Styela clava: one gene and its partners. The protein of the gene in region 3 purifies or fractionates together with the protein of the main gene of each other region. This does not show direct contact. Links are inferred from orthologs where the notes say so. Each region holds a gene or a part of one and is shown on either strand. Other genes may lie near its edges. The genes, in order: anaphase-promoting complex subunit 7-like, anaphase-promoting complex subunit 2-like, anaphase-promoting complex subunit 15-like and cell division cycle protein 27 homolog.

Evidence for each region.
Region 1: the proteins of anaphase-promoting complex subunit 15-like (region 3) and anaphase-promoting complex subunit 7-like purify together in Homo sapiens (affinity purification with mass spectrometry; 3 studies listed by BioGRID and IntAct, with this or other methods). This does not show direct contact. The link is inferred for Styela clava from reciprocal best matches to the Homo sapiens genes ANAPC15 and ANAPC7.
Region 2: the proteins of anaphase-promoting complex subunit 15-like (region 3) and anaphase-promoting complex subunit 2-like purify together in Homo sapiens (affinity purification with mass spectrometry; 4 studies listed by BioGRID and IntAct, with this or other methods). This does not show direct contact. The link is inferred for Styela clava from reciprocal best matches to the Homo sapiens genes ANAPC15 and ANAPC2.
Region 4: the proteins of anaphase-promoting complex subunit 15-like (region 3) and cell division cycle protein 27 homolog purify together in Homo sapiens (affinity purification with mass spectrometry; 3 studies listed by BioGRID and IntAct, with this or other methods). This does not show direct contact. The link is inferred for Styela clava from reciprocal best matches to the Homo sapiens genes ANAPC15 and CDC27.

The regions. Positions count from the first base shown.
Region 1 is NC_135257.1:7,648,322-7,656,340, reverse strand, and holds the start of anaphase-promoting complex subunit 7-like, read right to left. Parts: upstream 3,022-8,019; 5' UTR 2,924-3,021; coding exon 2,805-2,923; intron 2,616-2,804; coding exon 2,421-2,615; intron 1,831-2,420; coding exon 1,696-1,830; intron 1,378-1,695; coding exon 1,197-1,377; intron 408-1,196; coding exon 226-407; intron 1-225. UniProt on the Homo sapiens protein: Component of the anaphase promoting complex/cyclosome (APC/C), a cell cycle-regulated E3 ubiquitin ligase that controls progression through mitosis and the G1 phase of the cell cycle.
Region 2 is NC_135254.1:19,227,756-19,235,375, reverse strand, and holds the start of anaphase-promoting complex subunit 2-like, read left to right. Parts: upstream 1-4,600; 5' UTR 4,601-4,739; coding exon 4,740-4,790; intron 4,791-7,620. Other genes in the region: placenta-specific gene 8 protein-like, read left to right, coding at 1-114, 1,510-1,620. UniProt on the Homo sapiens protein: Together with the RING-H2 protein ANAPC11, constitutes the catalytic component of the anaphase promoting complex/cyclosome (APC/C), a cell cycle-regulated E3 ubiquitin ligase that controls progression through mitosis and the G1 phase of the cell cycle.
Region 3 is NC_135263.1:6,344,576-6,352,034, reverse strand, and holds the start of anaphase-promoting complex subunit 15-like, read left to right. Parts: upstream 1-4,442; 5' UTR 4,443-4,458; coding exon 4,459-4,578; intron 4,579-5,184; coding exon 5,185-5,244; intron 5,245-5,665; coding exon 5,666-5,788; intron 5,789-7,404; coding exon 7,405-7,459. Other genes in the region: NADH dehydrogenase [ubiquinone] 1 alpha subcomplex subunit 9, mitochondrial-like, read left to right, coding at 2,712-3,989. UniProt on the Homo sapiens protein: Component of the anaphase promoting complex/cyclosome (APC/C), a cell cycle-regulated E3 ubiquitin ligase that controls progression through mitosis and the G1 phase of the cell cycle.
Region 4 is NC_135260.1:19,715,382-19,722,504, reverse strand, and holds the start of cell division cycle protein 27 homolog, read left to right. Parts: upstream 1-4,100; 5' UTR 4,101-4,304; coding exon 4,305-4,331; intron 4,332-4,758; coding exon 4,759-4,834; intron 4,835-5,857; coding exon 5,858-6,005; intron 6,006-6,937; coding exon 6,938-7,123. UniProt on the Homo sapiens protein: Component of the anaphase promoting complex/cyclosome (APC/C), a cell cycle-regulated E3 ubiquitin ligase that controls progression through mitosis and the G1 phase of the cell cycle.

The DNA of each region.
Region 1 (8,019 bases), on a different chromosome or scaffold from region 3:
AACAATTTTTTTTTTCACACAGGTAAGTAAGCCTAGCTGTTTCACCTAAAAAGTTGAGTAGATGGCCAAACAGAATGAATTCAATTAGTTCTAATTTTTGTAGCTATCTTTTCTTGAGTGCTCTCTATTCAGAGTGATTGTGTGAAAACCACCTCAAAATAAAAGGAGCAAAACCCAAGATTATTACCACTTATTAATAATTTGCGATAGACATAATTTACTTACATATCCATGCCATCAAGTAGAAACGGATTATTCATTCTTGCACTTTCAAAATAAACGATTGCAGATTTGTTGTTCCCAGTGCGAGCACGCAGCTTTGCAAGAGAACAGTGTACCTGTGCATCACCAGCAATAGCAGTTTTTTTCATTAATATGTTGAGGTGAGAATAACAATTGTAGTATTCCTAAAAATAGAAATGGTTTGGAAAACGAGCCTAATAACAAATTCATCAGATGAAAATGTAAATAAAAAGAAAGTTTATGAAAGTTGGCACGGTGGTGCAGGAGTTATTATTAATAAAGCATGGAGCTTGAATATGGTGGAATCGTAGATTAGAATCTCGAGTTCAAATCCTGTAGTTGCTTGTACAACGCCTTGTTCGGAGTGAAAGGAATATAAATATGCTGTATAAAATATCTAATTTTCAAACTCATGAATTTCACAAATTTTAAAAAATGGTACCACTCGGGTCATGTTCCCTGTTAGTACATTAGTGATTTTTAAGTGATCTCGCATATAAAAATTCATCTTTATATGATAATACACCATAATCAACACAAATTTTAAAATATTAGTCATTTGCCAAATCAGTATTATACTTGTCTTGTTTAACAAGCACAACTTCAAAGTATAATGTGTAAGCCAAAAGGTATACAGGCCCATGAACTTTTCAGATCACAGACTTTCAGTAGGACGGTTAGAATTAGGGAGTTTGATTTTCAGTCAAATGTAAAAATAATATACGAATACATGTGGATTTATAGGACATTTATGCATAGTTAGAATCCGGATTGTACCAGTGCCGACAGGTCACTACTGACTGGTATAAGTTGTTACTCTGGTGAATATGTCCAAATATCATATAAATCCACATGTATTTGTCCACATCTTATGCCACCTCATGGTTCGGATGGTTGACCCCGTGCCGAAACGTCTACAGGTTTAGAAGTCTGTAAATTACACCAAAACATACCTTACAGTGTAAAAATGCATGGGCTTTTATGAGAGGTAAAAACCAATCTAAGCCTTGAGCAGCATTGGAAACAATAGATAAAATTTCATTTATACTTTCTCCCAATGACAGAAGACTGAATATGACATCCAGAGCAAGAGGCATCTTCTTTAAGACATCTTTGTATGATAATATCGCCGATCTGAAAGAATTGAGATGTAACATGGAGGGTAATGTAATGTGAAACAGTGAAGGTACATAATGACATGGAATCTGAATTAGGGATTGAAATCATTGAATGCCCAATTTGCACTAACCAATACGAATATTCTCATTACTACCAAAGAAAAACCATTATTTCTTGTGAAATTGTCCAAAAATACAATGATCTATCCTCATGCACCTTATTCCTTCTGTGTATAAGGATATGCAATACAAGTTGTTCAAAGATTATTTTAATATCGAATGTTGATATTTTGTCTGCTGTTGTACACAATGAATATACTTGCACAATGAATACCTTTTTCTTCCAAGCTTGTGATGAATTTGAGCAAGAGCATAGTTTATCTTTACAGTTCTGTACTTGATTGGAATGCTTTCCAAAATACTAATCGCATTATGATCATCATCATTGTTATGACAACAAACATGTATTCTGAAAAACAAAATTCCAGTCATTCAATCCTAAAATATCTAAATTCATATAATCATAACAACAGAACATCATATCAACAGAAGCTGGGTCATTGAGAGAAGTACTAATAATGTTTTCAGTAAATCCAACTTCAACATAGGCGCGGCGGTGTGGCTCAACGGGCTAAGCGTTAGGAATACGCTCGCCACCGCACCTCTAATTACTCTGCGTGGGTCCGCAGGTTCGAATCCCATGCAGGGATGGTTATGTGCGAGAGGATTGCTGAACTCCTCGCCGTCGTTGGGTGGTTCACGTAACCGCTGGTCGGTTACGGCTTCCACCACCACCAAGTCCATGCCTCCGAAAACAAAACAATATAACTAATCCCATACCCGACTTTGAAAGGTAACCGGACGAGAGGCCGTGGTTCGCCATATGGATAAGCCGTCTTATCAGCTTTCCTCTCCCCCGAGATAAATATGTAAATACTACTATCCTATCCTAACATAATTACCACTCAAATTTAGCCTAGTATCGAACGATTTCCATACTTTGTTAAAATATTTTAATTCTTAACTAAAAACACTAAAAACATAACAAGACTAACTTACTTGTATTTCACATCAACTTCTGAAGGTAATTTATTGAAACTAGAAACATTTTTTTGATTCTGTTTGAGACCATTTTTCCTCACATTTATTGCTTGTCGATAAACTGACTCTGCTATTCGAAAATGTTTTTTCTTGAAATTGACATCAGCCTGATGCAGAAGTATTTCATATTGATTTGCTGGTGAATAAGTCTCACTGAAATAAGAAAAATAGGGTAAATTAAATGAAGCCTTCACCAATTCCATTACACACGAGAAAATAAATTTAGGTTGCATTATATTTTTTTCAACCAGAAAAAAAGCTTTATTTTTGGGGTTTGAAATTTAAAAGTTACACAGAATAAAAATGATATTGCACTGGGTAAATAAAGTTTTCAAAACGCACCTGTTGTTTTTGATTGCAGTCGCAAGAAATCCACATAATATTTCCAAGGATGCGTTGAGTTTTTCTGATCGAAGTTGACTCAGATGACTCATGAGGCTTTGTGTTGAAGTAGTCGACATTTTATTACCAATATGATTTTCAACTAGGATGCTAGACGATAATTAAAAATATAGTATTTAATATATAGCCTACAAAACAAGATGGTGGCTATTCGAAACTCTCATCTGAATAGATTCGAACAATTTACTATTCAATTCTGAACCTTCTTATTGCCACATTGAGGAATTCTATCACATGCAGACATGCAGTCATAGTTTTTAAAAGTCATTTGTCACATTTCCTTTACATAAGTCATACCGTTATATATCTGATAGAATGGTACGATATCCCACGTGACTGGAGAAAATAGACATAAAGAGACATTTTAAACAATGAGAATTTGGAGCAATCGGTCACCCTAGCATAAATACAAAAATATGCATTTTTCTGTACTTTTGGTCAGACTGCTAGACTGTGTCTGGTCAATCCAACTGGACAAGCAACGGAATGGATTATATAGGACTGTAGGAATAATGCATGTGGTACAAGGATCTGTATACGTCGTACTGCCGTAAGTGCTCAATAAACAACGCCAAAAAATTATGTGAAAATAAATGCTGAATTGCCACGCACCGACCGTATATCGTCAGCCCTAACTTGACTCGACGGCCCTATTTCGTCACCCCTAATTTAACACGCAACGACCGCATTTCGCCAGCCCTATTTTGACACCCCAATGATTCAGATTCAGATTCAGATTTTATTTTCGTCATGCAAAACCAATATACGATATGAAAAAATAAAAAAAGACATATAACAAATTACGAAGACAGATATCGGCTTGTTGCAATAGACGAGGGATCGCGAAAGACTCAAAGAGTCATCCAGTCAGCGACACCTTGTAGCTGCATTGAAGCAGCAAATATAGCAACCGAACAACTCAATATTAAATAGTCACTAAATTCGACACAATCATATATATAAAAGGGACAACAAAAAGAATGCCACAATGACCACGAAAAGTTACCTAAACATTCACTTAATTAGCCTCAATCACAAAAAGGAACAACAAAGTTTGAAAAATAAAATACAGGATGTCATAATAACTATGGAGTATTAGATATTTACCTAATTAAACTCGATCATACAGAGTAAGAACAAAATAAAATCGAAATAAACACCGAGATACTACAATGATCACATCGTATTATATGACTTAACAGCGACATCTGTAAGAAGGATATGCCTCAATGACAACAAAGAATTGCGAAATAATGCTGACTAAGCATACACAGTAAACCAATATGGCGTGCCCAGCAACGGGCTTCTGGCTGCGAGAATCAATACCGTATTTAACGGATTTTTATGTTGAAAGCGATTGTTAGTGGCTATTAGAGTAGTGCAGAATAATTATGGGTTCTGCAGTATTCGTGGCATATAGGTTGGGCGGAAAATATTAAAACAAGAACAGTACACAGCGAGCACACAACTTGACGAACATGGATGGGAAAAGCAGCACCACAGGGATAGGTACAGTACATACCGGTATACAAATATAATATTTCTAGACTAATTGCAACTGGGCTTATAAGCATCTAGGTATAGGCTCTTCAGTGCATGTTTATACAAGTTATAGGTACTGGTCCTAATGCTATTGGGGAGATTATTCCACAATTTAACACCAACAAACTTGATTGAGTTTTGGGTGAGTTTGGTGCTAAAACGATTTACATAATAAGAACTGCTAATAGAGGACCGTGTTCCATATGAGTGAACATTGCTTTGTTTTGAAAAATAGTTTGTGAACGCAGGAGGGAGTTTTTTGCAGTGGTGTTGGTGCATCAATTTCAAAACTTCTATTTTGTAAATGTCTGCCAATTTAATAATTTGAAGGTTATAATAAATAGGACTGAGTCGTGAAAAATAACTAGCGGCAGATATTGCACGGATTGCTCGGTTCTGCATAATTTCAATGCGATGTAATAATGTTTTAACAGCTGAACCCCAAGCAATTATGCCGTATTGGATATGGCTCTGGAATAAGGAGTAGTACACCATCCTTAGTGTTGTTGGTGATGTAAATCGTCTAAGCTTGTAAAGTATTCCAACCGATTTAGATAATTTAACGGATAATTTGGATAAGTGAACATCCCAATTCATTTTACTATCTAAATATATGCCAAGATATTTATAAGAATGGACATTTTCAAGTTCTTTGTCATCAATTTGTATTACTGTTTCATTTTTAGATTTGCACTGGTGTGGAGATATTAACATAGTTTTTGATTTGCCAATGTTCAGTGTTAGTTTATTAGACCGCATCCAATTTGATACTTTCGCAATTTCAGAATTTACTCTCAACTGAAGAACTGCACAAGATTTGTCGCTGTCGAGAAGATTGGTATCATCAGCAAACAATTTGGTAAAGAAGGAGGAACAACAAGTTATGTCATTTACATAGACTAGAAATAGAAGAGGACCCAAGCAACTACCTTGAGGAACTCCGTGAGTCACTGGTAAGGGAGAGGAACGACACGACCCAACTTGAACATATTGTGATCTATTACTTAAATAACTAGAAATGAGTTTGTTTGCTGTACCCCTGATACCGAAATGTCTCAACTTGTAAATCAGGATGTTATGATTTACGGTATCGAAGGCCTTCCTTAGATCTAGGAATGTTGCACTGACAAACTCCTTCCTCTCTAGTTTATCGTAGATATATGATATTGTGTCTAAGATAGCATGTGATGTAGATAGATTATTTTGGAAGCCAAACTGTGATTTATTTATTACATCATGTTTCGTAAAAAAAGCATTGAGTCGCTTATGAATCAAACGCTCAAATATTTTACTTATTGATGAAAGAATTGAAATTGGTCTGTAATTTGACATACATTTTTTAATGCCAGATTTGAAAAGAGGGATCACTCGGGCAATTTTGAGACATGCAGGGAAGATTCCAAACAAAAGTGAACAATTGAAGAATTCAGCCAAACATGGTGCAATGAGATCAGCAACTAATTTAAGGAAACGTGCTGGTATGTTGTCTGGACCAACTGCCTTCCTGTCTTTCAAATTATGTATTTCTATTATCAATTCATTTGTAGTCGCTGGGCTCATGAAGATGGACTGGTTTATACAATTGTGAAGAAATTGTTTAAAGCTATCCTGTTCAGTGGAAAACTTGCCTGAAAGGCTAGACCCAATTGTAGAAAAATACTTATTAAATTCTGTAGCAATCAAAAGTTCATCCCTAATTATAGAGCCATTTTCAATATCGATCTCGTTAACTTTTTGATTAGATTTATTTTTTACATGAGTGATTTCGTTAACTGTTTGCCATGTTGACCTAGGATTACCTTTGTTTTTAGCAATAAGGTTTTGATAATAGGTTTGTTTTGAATCATCTATGGCTCTAATCAAAACATTTCTATACTTTTTGAAATAGGAGCGTTCGGAAGTGTTCCCTTTCAAAAAGTGGGATTCAAACATCTTATTTTTGTGGCGAATAGAAGCAAGCAGCCCTTTGGTTAGCCATGGTTTTGATCGTAGCCTTTTTTGACGACGTGAGAGTGGTCGAAGCGGGGCGTGGCGATCAATCAGGTGAACAAAAGATTTTACAAATTCGCTGAAAACACCATCAAAGTTTTGGGAACTCAAATTGTTTCTAGCAATATAATTATGAAAAATTACTTGTGTATCTGTGCGAAAGCAATCGATCGAGAATTTTGACATGTCCCTTGCTATTTTGACATAATTTGTATGGGCTGGTTTTATGCCACTGAGGCAACACATAACAGGAAAATGGTCTGTTATGTCTGAGAGAACTACATGAGATTTGATTCTAAAATTTGAAATATTAGTATAAATGTGATCTATAAGTGTTGATGATGTACTGCTCACTCTAGTAGGCTTAGTGATTAATGACTTGGCATTGTGAGAAATTAACATATCGGCATAATTTGCAATTTGGGCATTAGTTGACAATGTAAGTAAGTTAATGTTAAAATCTCCTAGTATCAAAAACTGTTTCTTTGCCAATTTAGCAAGAGATGCTTCAAATGCATTAGTAAAGCTTGGAATATTATTACGAGGATGCCTATATATAACACCAACAATTATCTTATTGACTGCGTTGGCCAAACTTATTTCAAACCATATATTATCACAGTTGGAGTGATTGAGATTGTAATCTGAAATTTCATTATAGATGAGATCGTTTCGAATATAAGCACCAACACCACCTGCTTTTGTGATGGATGGCATGTGTATAAAGCTATACCCATCAATATTAGTGTTGGAAACAGGGTTACACGATAACTTTGATTCGCTTATCGCAATTATTTGTGGAGGGGATGAGAAATTAGATAATAGGGTTGTTAATTTATCAATATTTTTTTGCAGGGATCGAATGTTCACATGGAAAATACAAAAGTCAGACAATGATTGAGAAGAATTTAAATCAACAACTCCTACATTATTGCACGTTTCAATGTCACAGGAATAAGCTAATTGAGGGTCGTTTGCTAAAGCCATGTATGAAATGTAAGAGATATTTTCTCCAGGCTGGAAATAAATGGCCGGTATTTTTGATATATGTTTGAGTAATACATAAAATTATTTTGACTATACAATGTATGAATATTTATAATCAATAGACCTACTTGATGAGAGAAAGGTCATCTTCGTTATTGATGGGGATGGTAGTTGTCATTTCGTTCTTTTTTATTAAAACTTTTCCATTATGTGTCCATAGATATTTATATCCACATTCTTTTTTAAGATCTCTTGCTTTAAAAAATAAGTCCTTGTTATTGTCATTAAGGTTTTCTATGATGAATATTCTAGTAGATCTTGTAAAATGCTGAAAATCTTCATGAAAATTGGCCGATCTCAGTTGGCGACGATTTTTTAGAATTTGATGCCTTGTTTTTCTGCGTACAAATTTAACAATAATTGGTGAAGGCTTTTTGTTGTTTTCTTTTGACATCCGGTGACAGTTTGATATGTCAGATGATTGCAGCGGTACATTTATTCGTGCTGCTACCTTCATAATTAATTTTTCACAATCTTCATCACGCGAGTAGGGTATATTGTGAAATTCTAAATTATCCAGCCTTGACCTACGCTCCTGGTCGTATTGGCGTTCAGTAAGGATATCTATTTCTTCTTC
Region 2 (7,620 bases), on a different chromosome or scaffold from region 3:
TTCTTCTGTAACCTCGCTACAAGGTTTGGAGATTCATGTGCGTATGGTTGGTGTTGTCCTCACCATTTCGTAACAGTTGCCCGTCCGTATCTCAGAGCCAGACACAATATTGTTGTAAGTTGTTATTCAATTGACTTTAGAAATGTTTGCAATGTTAAATGCTACTGTTTTAGATCTTACAGTAAATTATCTGACATGTAGATTTCTATCGCACACTATATAAAATTGTTGAGTGCCATAACCAGTCTTTTAACTGGTACGAGCAAATTTAGTACAGCTAGTGCGTCTTAACGACCTTTACTGTGAGGCAAAGATGTTTGTTTTGACAAGAGAAGTATCTCATTGCAACCTTTCACGACAATGCAAGATCTATATATAATTATACGATGATTGGTTACCCCTGATAGTATTGTGTTGATGTTAAGTTGCACTATATACAGGGCTGCCATCGATATATGAACCCAAAAATGAGAACATCAGGAAAACATAATAATAAGATAACAAAGAACGAAATGTAATAAACAATGTTTTTACGTTTACCATTTTATCTTTTATGATGTTCCAAATCTAAACTAAATTTAAAATATAATTTACCGGTATAGTCGTGTTTTGTCTAAAGCACTGATTATTGAATAGCTAGAAAGTTCAAATTTAACGCGTGTGGAAATGCTCGGGGAAAAGACAGTCGCTCAGAACGTCAGAAATTAATTTGTTCAGTCGCTTAATGAAAATTAATTTGCTCTCATGTCATAAATGCGCGAAGCAATCAATAGGTTCTAATATTATTTCTAGCAAATCAGTCATTCGAAATGACCAAACTAAATGCCCGGTATAAAAACTTCTACCCCTAAAATAAAAAAATAAGGACACATGTCAAATGAGGACGTTTCTTGGAAATAAGCACAGAAATATTTTCTGGGACAAAGACCTTCAAAATAAGGACAAATCTTAGAAATAAGAACGTTATGGCAGCCCTGACTATATATAATTGCAAAGACCTACCTATGATGTACTTAATGAATGAAACTGACAAAATTTAATACATTAGTACCTTTATCATTAAACCGCATTTATTAGAACATAGGGACATTATATGACCAGCATATAATAATGCTCTAATAGTCTAATCCAGGGGTTTAATTTAATATGGCGAGTAATCACTTTGCGTTGCAAACCTATACCTACCAATAAGTAGTACAATTTATTATCTATGCCCATGACGTTACTACTAGAAAGCTTATGTCAAATCAAGACGCGGCCCGCGGTTTCATCCAGTATTTCATATCTGGCCCGCCTGTATCAAAGGTTGCACACCCCTAAACTATAATAATTTCATTTTGGAGTAAATAATGAAGTGAATGAAATTTGGGAACAATTAACTAGAATGTCTTTCCATATGGCGAACTAAAAGTTGATATATCTCTCAAATCTCATTTCACACGCACAAAAAATTGGATTATACCGACTACAGATCTCTATTTATTAACATTTTTCAATATCTGTTTTAAGGGTGGACTTTGTGATGATTGTTGCGTGACTTTTTGCTGCACTCAATGCGTCCTGTGTCAGATTTCAAGAGAGATGGACCATCGTGGATATCCGAAGGGTTGCATGTTTTAGTTCAACATGATGTGACAGCAGCAGTAGTGTCTGTACATATACCATCATTTTTCTTCAAATTATCTAAATACGTGGTGCTAACTATAACCCAGGGGTGGGCAAATTACGGGCCGCTGGCCAAAGTGTTTCATCTGGTTCACTCGTGTCTTCTGAAATTACGACTATAGTTTTTATAGATTAAAATTTCTGTTGAAAATATCGAGAAAAATAATAAATCGTCGGCCAAAATAAATGCCGTAATTACCCACGCTTTGAATATAATGTGTAAAACGAGCCACATATACAAGCGGTCTGGGAAATTAGCACAAGCTAATTCGAGCCTGATATAAACAAGCGTTCGGACGAATGCAGGACTCTACATCAGTCCTATTAAGCAATTGTGCCACTCGATAAACTAGCTGTTCGTTATTACATTAGCTGTTACGCTAGTTATTTGTAAATGAACTGTTTTTTTTTTATTCATAGTTTCATATGGAGCCTCCGGCCCAGTATCCAAGTTCATTATCTGTAACTGGTCCACTCAGGAAAGTAATTGCCCACCCCTGATATCTCCCCTACTTTTTATGTACATAAATTGCCAGTTTGTTATACACTGACCTATCAACATTCAATGAAAACGAATTGACACGAAACGAATTGAAAAGAAGGTCCTCGCGGAAATGAAACTAGTCACCACACAACTCAAGTCCCAAAGTCGCAGTTTAAGCAGTCGCTAAACAAATAAATAATTTTATTGTATATGTAAGAAACGAAAAGCGGAAACCTAGAATAACACATAGCGAACAAAAAAATTTGTTACAATTGGACCCGAATATCTGATTTGATATTCGCGCTTATTCAACCAATTCCCTTTTTTACTAAATAATCAGTTTATTGAAGAGAAAGCTATTTTTATCGATCTAAATGACCAGGCGAAAAATTATGACATTTTAATTATTGTGCATTTATAATTTAAAAAAAAAGGTATACATAACAATGTTGTTCATATAATTTTGAATCATCAGACCAGTATAAAAAATATATTTATAAGAAGAAAAAAAACGCATACAAATTTTCCTAGACACTCGATGACTTTATCTCTTTCTTCTTATTATAAAATCCCATACCAACCTATACATTAATATACTTTTGGTGATTTACTCACGACAAGATTTCATGCAACGTTTCTTATGTGTCAATGCCAAGGTGATTGGTGATCTAGAGTCGTTTAACTTTCTATTATATGGGGTAGGATCCTATTTATCCCGGGGGAGAGGAAAGCCCGTAAGACGGATTAACCATATGGCGAACCACGGCCTCTTGTCCGGTTACCATTCCATGTCGGATATATATCGGATTAGTTAGTTTTCGTCAGCCTGAACTTAATGATAGAGGAAGCCGTAACCAACGGTTACGTGAACCACCGTACGGCGGCGAGGAGTCCACGAGTCCAATCCTCTCGCAAATAGCCATCCCTGCATGGGATTCGAACCTGCGAACGCACGCAGAGTAATCAGAGGTGTGGTGGAAAGCGTATTCTTAACGCTCAGCATGATGAGCCACACCGCCGCTTCTTTGTTAGTTAATATTTCGGCTGCATCACATTGACCTAAGACGGAGTTCAGCTAGCTATAGACATTCCGGTAATATACGTTTTAATATTACAAGAAGACAGAATACGCAGACTCTACTCAATCTGATGTCTGTCTATAGTAACTATAATTCAGGGTCACCATATTTGAAAAAGCAAAATTCCCTACAGTGCATGACTATTTTCATGACCCCGTAGTAAGAAATATCCGCACGGTACGAAATAACAATGTTCTGTATAAGCAGTGTGCACAGTACGATTGCAGATGCGGATTCAGGACATTTGAGCATTTTTTTAAATTCTTCCCGGATGCAAAATTTAACCCATTTTCCGGACGGTATGGCAACCCTCAACTATATGAATTGCTAAATGGTATTCAATATTTTTGTTATCACCGGTTCAGCCGCCATTAAATTCGACACTACCATAGCGAATGAGAATAGTAACTATGACGTCACAGTTAATTAATTGTCAATGCGGTCCTTTTTCTGAGATTTTCTGAATGCGGCCCATGCAAAAAAGAAAACTTTGCCCTTGAAGGTGTCACGCATGCCACAAGATTGATGACATGTTTTCCGCCCTAGCTCAAGAATTGGCTTTTGTTGGACACGAAATGGCCATATGGCTATGGTTCATTTTAAATAAATTGTTGTTGTTGTACTTTTCTTCTAATCGTTGTCCTACAGTAGTTTGAGATTGTTGTTGTCGATTTGAAGAGTATTCCTTTAATAAATTTCATCCAGAATTTCGCTCTTCTATTTTTATTCATGGAAACAAGGCCTTTAACACACCAAGCGGAACGACCTACGGTAAGAACATCTTCAGTTTTGAATTTGCGAAGTCAGTAGTCCTACTAGCTCAACGTAACTTGTTTGATAGCGAAATGCCAAATGAATAGACTCACAACTGTAGTATCAATTTTTTTTTTACAATACTTTAACTTTTACAGTAACTCACCATACGTTGCCTAGTCCAGTGGTTCCCAAACTTTTTGTACCATCGCTCCCCTACAGTAGTTTATACAACTTCATCCCCCCCCCCCCCCGGCACTGCAAAAAAAATTGAAAGTCTGAAACGAATATATTACAGACCAAATAAGAAGACAGATAATATTTTATAGTGTTTTCTAATGAGATGGATGAGCTTGGTGTTCTATGTGAATCAGCTTTTTGGTGTCGCTGCTTTCGAGGTCACTCGCGACTCCTGTCACACAATTAGGGCCTTCTGGAGGAAAATTTCATCTTTAACCACTGAAAATTTCAAAGCAATTGGTCCAGTGATCGAAGAGAAAAGCGGTTTTTTAATATTTTCACTAGATGTCCAAAAAGTGTCAAAGAACACCAAGAACAACATAACAACAAAACGATCGTTATGTCCACTAAACGTGTCCAATAAACAGAGAAGTCGATGTTCTGGGAAACATCCATTACTTTGGTTATCGCTATACTTGGATGATTTCGCTAGAACGAATTCCATCGGGGGAATTCCCTAAATGGAACACAAATCTTCAAGAAAACGCTGAAAGTAGGCCTATGGTCAGACAGTCAGAATGGATTTGGATCTTATCTTCGAAAATGCCGTCAGATATTTGAATTTCAATGTAAGTTAAATAAGCATTTTTAAATTTCCGGTTGGTTTTAAATCTGAAAACTGTTCGATAACTTACCGGTATTGTCCAGTCTAATTGCCTAACTTCGGACACATATCGTACCGTAAACTGCCATGTTCTTCAAATTATCTTGACTAAAAAGCGCCGTATATTGATCAATTATTATGTTACGTTTAAATCTAATATTAACTTTTTGTGAATGTTGCATAATTCTGTAATTAATTTTTCATTAAAAAACGGAAAATTTTGCTGGTAAATGACACATTCAAGGACACAGAGCGTCACTCCTACTAGTCAAAATACCGGGTCTCATGTAGTTTCTTACCTAACATACTTCTAGTGGGCGTAGCATGACAATTTTTTCGCGTATCAATCCTAACCCCCACCTGACTACACCATCCAAAAATTACGTCATCACAACGTCACAGTGACGTAATAGAGCCCTTCAAACTATACGAACTGCCATCCAAGACGCGCAAACGAGCACCCGAAATCGAACAGTTATTTCTCTCGTTTTCTTGTCGCAACGATTCCAATAGGAGAGAGACCAATAACGTCAGTCAGTTCTTTATCGTCGGCACCAATGCCATTACGGTCGATCGTGCGTATATTTGGCAAGCTCTATGACTGGATTGTGATGTCGTAGCGATTTAATTTTTGGATGGCGTAATCAGATGGGGGTTAGGATTGACATATCAAAAAATTGTTATGCAATGCCCACTAGAAGTACGTTAGGTACGAAACTACACGAGACCCAAAATACCATCATTAGATAGAGGAAATTGAAAACCATATACCGTATTTTCCCGAAATTACGCCAATATCGAGAATAGGCCGACTCCCTAAAAACGGCCTTAATGACAACGATTTTATAAAAAATCGCACGTAAGCCGGTCCTTCGAATTGTTACACGCCGGACGCTTCAAGAAAAACGTAATAGAGAACAAAATTACTGTAACGCAAACATTTCTCACGTTTATCGTTTCTGCACGTTAGCGAGGGCCGTAGGTGGATTATTACCCGTAAGTCTTACTTGTTAATTTATGTTAATAAAGTCTATATTGCTTTCCAATGTGTCGTGATTGTGTCGGGAGTTTAAAATAGAGTTCCTGAATCAGCATAAAACAATTTCCTTTGATCGCCACAACGAAGATTAATTTCGTTCCTTGTCCGTTTCAAGGAAAGAAATAACGCTGTATTAACACATTCTTATAAATCACTACGAATCTTAACATGCCAGACGCCTTAAGAAAGGCGCAGAAAGAAAACAAAATTGCTGTAACACAAATATTTCTAACGTTTATCATTTCTGTTTGTTAGCGACGGCCGTAGATCCTTACTCGTAACTCTTACTTTATTGCTTTTCATGCGTCATGATTTGTATTAATGGAAGGGATTGTTGTCGGGAGTTTAAGAGAGTCCCTGAGTCAGCATAAAACAGTTTCCTTTGATCGTCCACAACGCGGTTAATTTCGATAAGAGTCCTTATCACCGCCCTTTAACGAATAACATATCCATATCGTAAAGGTGATTAAAATTTGTGCGCCGTTAATTGCCTCTACGGCGAAAGTGCACCAAATAATAAAGTTTTCGCCATGAAACAACTGACCGTAAATCGACACTGTTGCTGTTATATAAAAGAAACACAAGCGAAAACAAACAATCACAGCCTGCACAAGCGTCACATGTTAAACAACCAATCACAGACTGTACAAGCCATTAGCTGTATGATAAGACAATCCACTTTCACAAGCGAGTGTGTGTGCGCGACACTTTTTATCGTGAGAACTTGGTATGGTTTGAAGCTTTTGGAATTACCGGCAAGTCAGCATAATATCATCTCGTTGCGTGATCAAATTCTGATACGTGAATGAGCCGATTTTTTTGGTGCAATCTGAGTCTTGCGTGTATAAGACGGTCCCTTGGTTTGGCAACTTTTTTTTTGAGTTTTAAACACGGCCTATACGCGATCATATACGGTAAATCATGAGAGGCGACATGTTGTACAAGTAAAACCTAGAATTCTGATTTTTAGATTTCGCAAAAAAAAATTGAGGTTTGATGCTGCGCCAAAAGTTACATCAATCTCATGTAGATCATTTTTTGGTCACCTACCTCAGGGGTTCTCAAACTTTTTGTGTTGCGGAGCCCTTGAAAAGGTTGACTATAATTCACGGAGCCCCAAAATAAATGTTAAATTGTTACTTTCCAATTAATATTCCTGAGTATAAGTTAAAAGTACTTTACTTAATTTAAACTGTAAATTTGACACTTGGCAAACATATTAATAATTTAGGGGTCGAATCTTTTCCCTTTTGACATTTTTGGAAGATATAAAGGGCCGCTAATAACTTGCGCGATTGCATTTTGTTACAATTGCCGTTTGTTTTCGTCAGCATGGCGTGTTTTTAAACCTCAAACATCTTTACGCCAGTGTTTATTCTCCCTAAATCGAAAATTTCCTTTGGCATATACATGTATTGTTCCACAATGACGACAATAATTGATTTTTTGTTCTCGTGGGAAATTATGTGTTCAATGTGAAAAAAAATATTATGGTGATAGGCGACGGAATGCTAAAAATAATAATTGATAAAGAGGTAAATCCGCAACTCAAATATCTTGATCGAAAAGCGGCATTCTAAAATATATATTAAAACTAAAACTTAAAATGGAAGATCACACTATAAGTTTGGTTTCAGCAGACCTTAAAACGCTTTTATAAACATTGTTAATCACAAATTTTGGTGTTATGTTAGGTTTTCTTTGGTTATTCATCGTAGTAACTGCGAAATCGAAACAAAGTCAATTGTGCGCGCGA
Region 3 (7,459 bases):
CGAATCATTGAGTTCGCTCGAAATACAGCAAAATCTGATTTTTCGTCAATTTTTGAAGGGCCATATTTTATTAAGTTATGTTCCGCTGTTCATCATACTTTGGTGTTAGACACTTGACTTGTACATGTGATTGAAATCGTTGTTAAAAGTTGTCGGCATATAAAGCAACATATTCGAATTCGGCCTCGATATATCGAGTACGCATCAAATTTCAGAAAATCTTGTGTTTGACCTGTTTAGGGCTGGGCATTTCGAATCGAATATTCGAATCGAATCGAATAGTAAATTATTCGAATCGGTTCAGACTGGAATTTCGAATCGCCGCCATCTTGTTTTTATCTTTCCGCTAATGGTCGAGGTGAATTCCCCAATTTTTTTTCATTGAAGTCATATTTTTTCAACGAAATTCTAACATATGACTATTTTCTGTAGTGAGTTATTGATAAAACGTGTTTGTTATTCTGTGTGAACGCTCAGTAATCTATCTGAGTGATTTATTTTATGTCTTCAGTAATTCATTTGTTGAGAGGACCAATTACTATGATAAAGTCGCTTACAATTTTATATTTTCAAGTATTCGAGATTCGATTCGATTCGAAAAAATTATTCGATTCGATTCTGAAATCACAAGGTATTCGAAAATGCCCAGCCCTACCTGTATTTGAAGCCCTATAAATCATAAAGTCCCGCTTTGTTCCCTTCAACTTTTATTTATAATACTTTTCACTATTGCTACTATTCAAAATTACTGTTAAAAGTTGTCGGCATATTGCGGATCATATTCGTATTCGGCATCGAATTATTAAGTTCGCACGAAATATAGCAAATTATGATTTTTTGTCAATTTTTGAAGGGGCATATTTTGTTAAGTTTTGTTCCGCTGTTAATCATACTTTGGTGTTAGACACTTGACTTGTACATGTGATCGAAATCGTTGTCAAAAGTTGTCGGCATATAAAGCAACATATTCGAATTCGGCCTCGATATACCGAGTACGCATCAAATTTCAGAAAATATTGTTTTTCGCCTGTATTTGAAACCCCATAAATCATAAAGTCCCGCTATGTTAACTTCAACTTTTATATATAATACTTATCCCTATTGGTACTATTCAAAATTACTGTTAAGAAGTGTCGGAACTTTGCGGATCATATTCGCATCTGGTCTCGAACCTTAGAGTTTGCATGTAACATTGAAAAAAATATTTTCCGATATTTTTGTGTTCCCATCAAATGTAGCCTATTTTTATTTTATATTATTTTTCATTCTGCAAATATATTCTAATACGTTTTAGTTTTTCTGTTTTATGTGATATACAGTTATGTATGTTGTAATTACCACTACCAGCTAAATGTGCTTAAACTTATATTTCGGTCTGAGTTGTTTCCTTCGGAACATATTTTTCCAAATAGGATCCATTTATCTCTTATAAATATTGTAATAAGAGATTATTTTCCGCATGGGAACCGGTTGAAAACTGCAGAATATTTTTCCGCTGAAATTCCGCTGAATTCACAGTGGTGAATTTGCTGACCCCATTTTACATTTCAGATTTTTTGAATGAACGTACAGGACAGGCAATTACAGAATTTTAGTGGTGCATAGTGGAAATACAGGTACAAACAATTTTTTCCTATTACAGTATTATTCATTTCTATGATTATAACTCTGTCACATTTAACACATTTGTGGGCGTTTAAAAAAAAAACACAGGTAGGTAACCGGTAGCCATTCTATTGGAGTCTTACGATTTTAGTGTGGACCCGTTTATTTCAGTGAAGATGTATCCATTTTAGTAGAAACATACCGGTACCGTACTGCCGCACCGGTTCGAGAAATGTATCATTGCTTGATTTTTATAAAAAGTCATTTCTTGAAGGAAATCTCTATCCGAATTTGACTAACATACTAACCATGAGAAAAAATTCACATCGATGACTGGAAGTACATAGACTATACGTGCGAACAACTAATCTATTTCCGAAAATGGACATTGCAAAGAACAATCAGAGAACTAGAATTAGTGATGCCCATTTACAGATTTAGAAAATGTTTTAATCTTGGCTTCTTCCAGTGCATCACCTGACTGCCTGATGTCAGGATGTTGAAAAGCTATCAAGCATACGGTAATGCAGCAACAAGTGTCAAATTAAAAGTCATTTGTAACTTTTTGCCTATAGTCAGATAGTGACCCGGCTTTGAGTCCACGAGTTGCGCAGTGTTCGCTCGCTATTTAAAATCTAATATTTCAACTTCTGAACTGTGTAAAAAATGTGATTCATCAGCCACTCGTTCGGTTTTTACCTTTCTTGAAAAAATATGTGCGGTTCGCCAAGATTTTTAACCCTTACTTTTGGCCTGGGAGCAACAAATGTAACCGACCCCTAGTCTATGGCATATGGTGTGGTGTTTTCTCATTTTAAAATTCTTGCAATCTTTTTGAACATGATCATCATTTGCAACTTGCAACCCATGGGGGCTTTCTCAAGATATTCTCACTTCTATCTGAAGTTTGGAAGTGTGGTTTTGGCTATCATTTGGTAGGTACCGATTTTAAAAAGGTCATGTTAGAACCAATCTGATGTTTCAGTGTTTATATTACAGTATTAGTACAATATTAATGCTCTTGTTGCAGTTTGATATGTTATTATTTTCAATTACAGATGGTTTAATTTTACGAAATTGCAAATTTAATGTAGAGTAAGATAACAATGATTGCTAATCGACTTGCTTTAGCTGGATGTGGTAGCCGTGCTCTGTCAGCTAGAAATGAAGGAATCGCAGCTCCTGCTCTTATTTTAATACAAAAAAGAAATGTCCATGAATCTTATATACCTTCTGGTTCCGGTGGAAGATCATCATTCAGTGGTATTGTCGCGACTGTTTTCGGAGGAAGCGGATTTGTTGGACGAATTTGCCTCAACAGATTGGCAAAACATGGAGCAAGTGTGGTAGTAGCACATCGATCCCCATATCAATATGTGAGACATTTGAGGCCGATGTTTGATTTAGGACAACTGTTAATGAGGGATTTTTGCATGGAAGATAGTGATGACAGAATTCGTGAATTGATTCAACATTCAAATTGTGTCGTAAATCTTATTGGAAGTAACAAGCCTTATCAAAATTGTACATTGGAGAAAGCAAATCTTGAATGGCCGTTACGATTGGCGAAGATTGTTGCCGAAAAAAATGATGGCACTCGTCTTTTGCATATCACCAAACTTAATTGTAATCACGAGTTTGGTAGAAAAACCTCCAAACTTCTGCAACTCGACTACGCAGCCGAAGTGGGAATTAGGGAGATTTACCCCGAAGCAATAATTGCAAGGTCTTCCAATGTTTTTGGATATAATTCTACATACACCAATTTTTTTGTTCATGAAAGACAAGAAGATTTGGGTAAGTTTGGTGGGATGCCCTTGCTTTATGATGGCGGAAAATCAACAATTATTCAACCAATCTATAGCGGAGACTTGGGAGAAGGATTGGCCAGGATTCTAAAGCATTTAGATTCACCTGGGAAAACCTTTGAGCTTTATGGTCCACGTCGATATGTACTTAAAGATTATGTTGAATACATTTACAAGATCATGGATAAACCCTGCTATTTATATGATACCTTGGGACCTATGGATAGCAGCAAGGCGAACTTCGTCCAAAAAAAATTGCAGAAATTGGTGACACGATATTTTGAAAAACAAGAAGAACCACGTTTTCTTTTTCCAAGAGCTGTTGACGTAATATCAAGATTAGGAACACCATTGGAAAGTTGGGCAACAAAAGATTATTTTGACATGATTCACGTCACAGATAATCGCACAGGGCTTCCAGGATTAGAGCAGCTTGGAATTGAACCCACGCCATTTGAAGATAAATCTATGCTCCTACATGGTTATTTACATCTTTGGGACTCTTTCACTATTCAGTCAAAGCACACTTTACCAAATATCAAACAACAGTCGACCTATTTGCCAAGAGTAAAATGAACAGCTATAAAATTGTTTTTCGTGACTGGGGTTTCTATTACTGTTATCTTTTATTATAGAATATAATTATTTTCCATTATTCGAAAATGTTTGGAAATTAATTAGGCATACTGTGGTGTATAGTGTACCAACTTACACTCATCAAGGAACATTTTTTGACAAGTTCAAATTTTTCTCAAAATGTGTTTATTTATTTACTATCCATCTCTAATGCTTTCAGTGTGTATTCTAATCAGAACAATAATGCTGTATAGCGTTGTCAATTGCTCTGAAGTTATTAATTTTTGGTGCATTCATCAATTATCAACTACTCCAAAATAAACATATTTTTTAACTTTTGAATTTTGGCAACACTAAATAAAATTATTACTTTATGAGTTGACTATATGTTTCATTTGTGTGTCATTATCTTTAGTATTATAGACAGAATATCTCAAAATAAATACGAATTATTACGATATGTTTTGAAATGTCAACAAGATTTCCATTATTTGAATCTGAAACAACTGGTGACTTGTGGTTTTCTGTTGATAAACCAAGGAACGAAGAAGCTGATTTACAAGCTGAAGAACAGAAATACGAGAATTGGGTAAATGGTTGCTTGTTCATAAGGTTTGCTATCTGTAGAGCCAAATATCTCAAGTTTGTAGAAATTTAGCATACCATGTCAAAATTGCACTGTCAATGTATTCCACGCCATGTGGTTGGCGAAATGCAGGCTGGAATCTTGTGGACAATTAATGTGTTCTACTGAATTTCTCGACTCCTTGCCGCCTGCCATAGGGTGGTTAACCTAACCGCTGGTCATTTATGGCTTCCTCCACCATCAAGTCTATGCATTCGAAACAAATACCTATTCCCATACCCAACATGGACTGGTAACCAGATGAGAGACCGTGGTTCGCCATCAATTAAACCATCTTATTGACTTTCTATTCCTCAAGATAAATATGAAAATCTTTGCTTAAACTCAAAGCAGAGAATGTGAAAAAATTTTGTGCTTCAGGTATCTATAGATTTCTCCTATTTTCTCAGTCAAACATGCCCTGTTATAGAATGTATGTAAATATTCTAAATTTGAAAATATTGTTTCATGAAGATTCAAGGTTGTAAATTTGAGTTTGCAATCTGCCCATGTTGTTTTTTAAGTATCAATTGTTTGTTTTGGCAAGTTTTAATTTCCATATTTTTCCAGCTAACATCAGTCATAAAGAAGGATAGTGACACACCTTACATTGGAGAAGCTGCTGGCAGGGTGAGTTGAAGCATTGCTCTTTCTTAGTGGTGTGACTGCGTTATAGATGAAACAAGTGCTTCTCAAAATTTCATGTTTTATTTTATCAAAGAATTTCAATACTTCATGGCCTATTGCTTTTCTATAAAAACACCTGAATTACCTAGTTTTGCTTTTACTGGGTTCCCATCAGGCATTTTATTTTATTATTATTGAGTATAAAAGTAGGAGAATAAATTCATTATAGTCAATTTACGTTGAATTAGTTTCAAATTGTAATCATCGTACCTTATAAAGACCTTTAGTCATGGCCTCCAGAGAATCTATCCTTTGCCCCCTATCAGAACCTAGGACCCAGCATGAAAAACCCAGGTTCATCTACTTACTCACGAATGAAATTGGGTCTATTATCGAATTTAATGTTATTCTTTCTGCGTTATAGTATTGTGGTTTAAATCCTGGTGAAGACGATTCTGATGATGACACTGATGAATCTAATGAGGAAATGGAAGAAGATGATTTAAATGAACTTCCTGATTCTCCTGATGAACAAGTTATTCCCGAGGTTAGTGTATTGTAGTGTAGTGTTGTAAAACACAGTGTATTAATATTTCTTGGATTGGGTCTGCATGTGGCTGATGTCAAGAGCTCTGTCAGATGAGATAACAAGCATCAGAATAATATATTGAATTTTTCAGAGTTGTGGTGTCAGGAGTCTAAAATTGGCATGTTTTTATCATATCATGGTTGGATCTGGAGTTGTATTTTAAATTCATTGAAGAATTTCGGACTTTAGACAAACTTTAAAATCATAAAGTCAACTGGGCATTTTCAACAGACAATTGTCACTCTCAAAAGTTTTTGTGGCTAAAATTCGATTTTCTTGATGTCTGTCTGGTGTTTAAATTCTCTTTGAATAGAATTCAGGAACAAGGGTCTGACTCTGAGCCAAATGTTTTGTCAACCGGGAGTGGTAACTAAACTTATTTCGTAAATGGTTGAGAGTTTGGAGTCTTTGAGTATAGTATGAATTTAACCCAACCTCACAGTTCTGGTATTCCTGGTATTCTTATTCCACATAAGGGCCATTCCAAGCAAAAGTTGAATTCCATCAATTTTTTAAAAAGTGTAGTGAAAGTAATTTTTTTTCATTTCTGATATTAAAAGACATTGGAATTTTATTGGACTGCATTCTTTTCATCGAACAATTTAAAATTTCACTCAGGTTTTTGATGGTTTATAAAAAATGGCCTGAAATGTAGAAATTTTGGTATAATTGACATATTTTGTGATGATTCCTGACACAAAGTGTTTGATTGTGTGGTACAGTTATTTCATATGGAATTGACGCACTGGATTTAAGTTAATAAAGTTTAAATGTTTGCAGTGCTGTAGGACATTTCTTCACCCATTTAACGATTTATTACCAGAATTTTAAGAAATGATAGTGGTCGCTATTTCGAAGTGGAAAAATGTCTTGTAGTGTCACGTCCTGTTGTGTCACATACAATATGCACTTTATTGGCATGGATTTACAGTGTTACATTAAGTAACTTGAGCAACACATAAAGAGGTAGTTCAGCTACTGCACCAGAAAATATTATGGGCTCCTACTGTACCATCGCAAAAATTTACAGCACAACACAACGTACTGTTAGTGCATGTTGGATTTGCCGTCCTGTAGTGTCACGCTATATTTTACTATATTTTTTTTTATCTACTAAGTAAGTCTTGGGTGTAACTTTTGTTCAATTTTTTACATATTCAATAAAGCAACTGATTGGACAATGTAACAAAACATGTAGCTGAAAATGTAAAAATATATTGCATCTAACAACTTGCAAAATTTCTGGAATTGTCCTGTAGTGTCACTTGGAATAGCCCATAAATAAATTTTCATTAGATTCAAGAATACCATGTAAGACCTTTGCATTCTTTTTCTAAATTATTGTTGTGACTTGACAATAGTTCAAATTTTTTATCAAATTTTAGGAATCTTGAGTTAGCATTTTTTTGAATTGTTGCAATTTTTTGGAACACTTTTTAGACTTCATTCCCCCTAAGTATAATTAACAGTGATATATATATTGTTGCAATTTTTTTGGAACACTTTTTAGACTTCATTCCCCCTAAGTATAATTAACAGTGATATATATGTAAATAATTTTTTTATCTTTCCAGATTGACATGGATGATAATGCAGCGCCAGATGATACTTGGATGAATAACAACAACT
Region 4 (7,123 bases), on a different chromosome or scaffold from region 3:
GTTTTGTCTGCTTTCCCGAAGTTTCTGTTAATATGTCATTGTATTTATCTGGGTAAATATTGCCTTTCCTTTTGAAAGAGGTTTCAAAATAAACTATGTCTATATTTATTAATCCCTTGACTTGGACCGGTTTTAAAGACACTTTCTTATCGTTGAAAATTGTCGCTTTTGCCGATTGGCTGTTACCGATGGAATGGTTTTTGTGCTCATAAAATGATGGGAGAACTTACAGCGCTCATCCTATCCCCGTAGATGGGGGTGACTTGGTCCCGCAGTAGCTTGCCCCGGTTGTCAAAATGACCACGCGCCGCCACTGGAAGGCGGTATTGGAGGTAGGATATCATTTTTATCCCGGGTAAGAGGGAGGCGGCTTACTCACATAGCGTACCACCACAGCCACTCGTACGGTTACCAGTCTATGCATGGGATTAGTTAGCCGGCTATTTTGTTTTGTTGTTTTTTGTTGTTGCAAGGACTCTAGGGTTGGTTTATCAAAATATTTAATCAATCAATGACGATATAAAACTGCGATAATTGTAATGGAAGGTCTGACTACGGGATACGTCCGGAATAGCAGGTATGGTGGAAGAGACAAAAATATTCATTACAAAATTCTCTCTAAAACTGAAAAATTGTAACCTAATCAGTCTTATTGGGTTACTGGTCTTTCGGATGCAACTGCAAACTCAATTCACGGATCGTTTATCATAACAGACAAATATTTCACCACATGCAATAAACAAATTCTCATTGAAGTTCCCAAACACTGTTCCACAACTGATTAAATAACCAGGTATCGAAATACGATAAAACATGAGCAATCGACATATTAACTAATATTTCAATTTGCTCACTGAATTTCCAATAAGTTAGAATCCTTTTAGGGAATAAATGAATACTTGCTGTCTGATTCTGCTGTTCTGATCTGATGAAGACATACACCTGGTTCCGAATACATATATTGCAATTGTATAATTTACAAATACAAAGGACAGTTCCAAATCATGACTGATAAGCCAGGCAAAATTACCAAGTTGCACTGCAGGCCCGAGGTTCGTTAATTACTTGTCCGTAGTTATCCTTTTTTCTCCTAACGAATGTTCGCTTTTATGCTGGTTTTAGTATCCTCAGAGCATGACGCGATATCGTCATGTAACCTATATAGGACGTCTGATTGTTACGTATTTTACGACTAATAGATTGCTTCTAATTTTAGGATTAGAATGACTTAAGTTAAAACACGAACTATCGAGCAAAAACAGCTGATTTACCCAATATTCTATTTCTATATCCTTTCCACGATTTACAAATTACAAATTACAACCAGCAATCCAAAGATGTCGGGATTCCGTCAATCATTTTCATATAAAAAACAATTTCATTGTTAAGAGGAATTGTATCATACTTAGTCCCATAAATGGCAAATAAGAGTTGAATACATATCTTCGCGAAGTTTAATAAGCTTTGACAGTCGTCAAATATATTCTCAAAAGTCGTTGTGAAAGTTATGTATATAGCAGGGGTTCTCAACCTTTTTCCTGTTAAGTACCTCCGAGTCGTGAAATAATCAACTCGAACTCCCAGTAATCAGACACCAAACAAAGTTGTAAATTGTAATATATTGACTAATAATTTATAAACTGTTTTTCAAAGCAGTAGTTCCCAGCCGCTGGCCCACGGACCGGAAGCTTTTTTGTCGTTCCGCGAGAAATTTTTATGTGTTTTTCAACCGTCTTAAATCGCTTTACCGAACGCGAAATAACGACGTTGGGTTTGTTCATTACGCTATTTCTCTTTCGCCAACCTATTGCTGTTCGCGGTATTAAAGACGTATTGGCGCCGAGTAATCACACTTCTCGCTTTTTCGGTTCCGATTCATCGCGAAAGCATCCTTCAACCTCGCGAGATTCAGAAACCCAAAGAATGACACACGTGTTTTTTCTGTTCTGCATGCTTTTCCTGTTCGATATGAACATCCAAATAAAAGGTTATGAATATTTCTTTGTTTAAGGCAGAAAACAGTCGTTGACAGTATAATATCCCAGGGGTCCGCCTTGACATCTAGTAAAATATGAGCTTGTTGCGACCCCACAGGTGGTCACGAGGCGCACAACAAAATCATGGGCCGCAGAGATCTTTTCCATGTGATGCACAGCAGGATTGTGTACCTGGTGCCAAGTTAACGATGACCTATTCATCTTAATGTAAATTTTGTTTGATGCGTTGATTAACTGCAGAAAGATAAATATGAGATCAGCTGACCAACAAAGCATCTATGTCTTCTTCTGGGCCAAGTTTGATTCACTCATTTCGGTTTTTGGCCGACGCATTATTTGTTTTTATACATGTAAAATGTTTTCAAGTGTGCCTTCTTTATCTAGAAGCATAGTGGGTGCCCAGCATTTCGTTATATTGCGCAAATATATATATGTTATTATTTTCTCTTCCACTCATTTCAATTTTTTGTCGGTCCGCGAGTACATCTTATTCAATTTTATCGGTACGCCATAAAGGTTGAGAACCACTGGTTTAAAGAATATATGAAGGAAATAGCAACACATGAAAACTCAACTGCCATCCTAGTACCCCTAGAAAGCTTCTCGTAAAGCCCTGGTATATATATAGTATTGGAAATCACCTATCAGAGAAGCCGTTTCGAATGCACAAATATCTTGTATGTCTTACTCAATATTTTCATGTATCCTTTACCAAAGACAATTATCAATGTTGATTTCAATAAATTTATAAAAATAAAACTCTTGAGATACCTATATTTGGAAATTGACTGCGGTCCAAGGTTTTATTCGAAAATGAAATCATTTGAGATGAATATTTCCATTTTGATGGTTTGCGTTTATACGTTAATGTTTAAATTAGGTGGCCCACTGTATTAAAGGTTGCACATCTCTGGTTTAAATAATTCCAGTAAGAACGTGGTCGGCATAATCCGCGCGATGCTACTTGGGTTACCTACATTTTCCTTTTAAGAAGACTTTATTTTGGAATACTAAAGAGAGAGATTTTTGCTATAGTGGAAAATTATAGTAAAACTATTTATATTGCGTGACTCTATTCTAAATTTAAATCAAATTGAAGCTTATAGTAACTTTGTAGTTTTCATAGGTGACACGGGGAAATAATTTTTTTTAAGCAGATAACACGCGCATATAATGGGTGCTCACATTGCAAGAAAGACAATAAAAACTACTTCAGTGTCGAGACTCAACGGGCAGATTTTGCGTTTTCTTGGGAAGGTTGCGGGTCGGAAAGGTCGCGGGGTCGGAGCGTACCGGTAGTTGCTAGTTGCTTGTACTGATACGGGTCTTACTACTTACTGAATACAGCGCGAAACACCGCAAAGAGCGCAAAACAGCGCGAAACAGCGCAAAAGAGCGCGAAACAGCGCAAAATAGCGCGAAACAGCGCAAAAGAGAGGAAAACAGCGCGAAACAGAAGGAAACCAGCGCAAAACAGAGGGAAACAGCGCAAAACAGGAGACGTAGTCATTACCACCTCCTGCCACGAAAGAACCACGGCGCCTCTCGCCATGGTTTTATGGCGCTATTTCCGGCATATTTACAAGGTTATGTACCGGATTATAGGTCACCATGCGAAATTTTATCTACCTTTTTGGTGCTCCAGAAGTATGTGCAGCAATATGTCGCACAACCTGAATCCGCTACACACACACATACTCTTTTCAGGTTGTGCGCCATCTTGGTGCACATACTTCTGGAGGTCCCTTTTACCTAACCCTAACCCTAAAGCCAACCATATCCATATGGAAAATGTTCTAAATTATGGTACCCAAAATGTGTCACCAGCAGGGGCAGACCTGTCATTACAGCATTACTGGCTACATACGTTGGTTTGTGTTTTTAATTTGCTGCCGTGGTACTCCAACTCAAAACAAGGTGCCCCGAACTCATTGTAAAAATTTTTTCTGCTTCACACTGTTTCCCTCTGTTTTGCGCACTTTCGCGCTGTTTTGCGCTGTTTCCACACTGTTTTGCGCTGTTTCCCTCTGTTTTGCGCTGTTTCGCGCTGTTTTGCGCTGTTTCGCACTGTTTTGCGCTCTTTGCGGTGTTTCGCGCTGTATTCAGTAAGTAGTAAGACCGTACTGATACTGTATTGCTGTATTAATAAGTACCGAACCGTATAAATTCATTTGTTTATATCCAGTCTTTGTAGCAATCTGATGAAAGTTTCTCCAAGTTAGAGTCCAACGCCCGATTAATGAATACCGGTACCGGTACAACTTTTTGGATTAATTTGATTAACTTAGTGTATACCGGTACAGGATTATGACGATCATCCAAGAACCAATCAAGGTAACCACATCGATACAGTTTATAACATTAGTATTTGAATATTTTGACCATCATTTACCTCAAAGAACTGTAGAACACTTCCAATTGCAGAATTGAATGTTTTATTGCTGTAATGCAAATCAATCAATGGTTGAAGCAGTCAGTTTTTCCTGTATTCTCCAATAATTTTCGCTCTTTGATATTTAAGCCTTTAACGAGATACTCAAGGCAACTATTAATACTGTCCGACTGTAGGACAATAATGTTTTTACAATTATAATCTGCAAACATTGACTTTCAGAAGACACATTTTTAATTTTTTGTAGCGATTTTTATTCATTTCTTCAGTGTCGTCAGGTCAAAAAGTGATTAAAGGATTATATAGCCTAAGATTAGTTGGTATCATAAAGTTGTAATTAATAAAGTATTATACATGTCTTAATTTCAGGCTGCAATATGGCACTCTCTCAACCATTATGCCTTTGCCGATGCAATCTTTCTGGCAGAACGACTATTTGCTGAAGGCAGGTTTCTCATATTTTTTATTTAAGAAATTGCAAAAAATATCAAACAGATTGATGTAGGAAAAATAGTAATTGTGAAAATTTCATAATTTGATTTATCAAGCAAAATTCAAAATATGACATTGTGGGCCAAACCATCGAACAATCCCTTCAGTCACAACACAAGAAAAATAAAGTGATATCATATTATTAAATCCTTGACAAAACAAAATTTCATCTAATTGTGGCATAACACAATGTCAAAAAGGTGAATGATGCAAGTTTCAAAATATGAAACTCATTCAAAAATAATGGGATACAAAGTCTGTTACGTGAATATGTTCCATGGGCTGTCCGTGGCCTGTGGACTGTATGCTGCATGGTTCTTGACTATACATATCGTTTTGTATTGGAGTATAACTAGTAGCAATTTGGGATATCTATATTCAGATAGTTGAATTGATAATCCAAATATGCAATTCTTATCTTGTTTATTGTGAATAAACTTTTTCCGACAGAATTGTCATATCATATTCTAATAGTAGTAAAAATCATAATATTAATGTAAAAATATCATGACTTACTATGATCATTGCAACAGAGAGATATCAGTAAATGGTGGTTGTGATAGGACTTAAAACAATTCAAGCTGGCACTTTCATAAAGCAGATAAATAAGAAGTTTTACGGATAATCTTTTAATACAGAAATTTGAGTTTAAAATTTTTGAACCTCTCAGTCTGTGAATAAATAGCAGCTAATGTAGTGAAACAATTAAAACTGATTCTGAGTCCATTACGGTTCACATGAACAAAGTTAATTATAACGGCTAATGAGCCAAGATAAATCAAATTTCATATTCGGGAAAGACATGACATAAATGGCATAACTTTTTGGAGTGGTTCTTTGTTTGTCCCTACATTTTACCCAAGTGATTCATTTTTGCAAACTATGAAATCTTACAATATTACAAGCATACAAATATAAATCTTATTACCTCAACCCACCCTCCTATCCTGTCTAATATAAACTTTTTTTATTACAGTTGCATCAAGTGATTCGCTCTTCTTGTTGGCGACTGCTTATTACAGATCAGGAAAACCTAAAATAACACAAATGCTACTTGATAAACATGGGATGACGATGCCTGAATGCAAGTTACTTTATGCACAATGTGCATGGGAATTGGAAGAGTAAGATTTTTTTAAACAAACACTCTTGGTAGATTGTCATTTACACTTGATTAACTAGACCAGGGTGGTCCAAACCCAGGCCCGCGGGCCACATGTGGCCCGACGCTCCATTATCTGTGGCCAGCGCCGTATTCGGAGAGTAGGCCTAATCAAAATATCGTATTTTAAATTGCTTCTCATGAAATAAATCAGAAAAATCGTTTAACATATTGTTGTTATATCACTACTGTGACTGAATTGACTAGTTACACTAGTATGATGGCTAGCTGAAGCAACTAGCGAAGTTGAAGATGTGATGGGCAGTCTAAATCGTATTGGTCGGGAATATATGCTAACAATATAGGCATGGTAGAAAACTAATTGGTAGAAAACTAAATCGGATGCGGATTCCATTAGCCTAGGTTGGCAACTATGTGTTTACACAATAGAAGTGCTTGTTTTGTATTGCACTGTTTACCTATTCTTGGTACTATTGTGGCCCGCGACAAATACCAAAATAATTTTGTGGCCTGTGGAGCCCACAACCTTGGACCACCCTGAATTAGACCTTAGGTAAACTGCTATTGATTTCTGAATTTATGTTGGAGCTTTGAATAAATAATTGATCACAGGTATTTTCTTGTAATCTAGTTTATTGAAGGTAATTTAATGCTTGACGCAAGTCAGAATATAAGTTCACTTTACTGTAGCAGTATTTGGTGGAAGTCTCTTTACCCCAAGCCATGAGCCAAGTCTTGGTCGAGTTTGAGTCAATTATTGGGTCAAGTCTAAATGGCATAGATAACGATTTTTTTCAAAAACGCGAGTTACTTTTGAGTCTTCAATAAATGATTACCCTAGTTGAGTCGGTTACTCGAGGCATCCTCATCCTCATTATGATTGCAACCTGTATTTCTATTGTTTTGATACTAATTTGATACCATTTTTTTCAGGTATGCCAAGGTAGAACAAATTTTCGGACTTAATTTTTCACCAAGACAATTGAATGGATCGCAATATATCACCAATATTATCAATGATATTCATTCTGAATTTGGTGAATCATCATGTTTTGCTCTCAGTTTACTCGGAAGAACTTATCTTCGAACAGAACGACCTGATCTTGCTGAACATTGTTT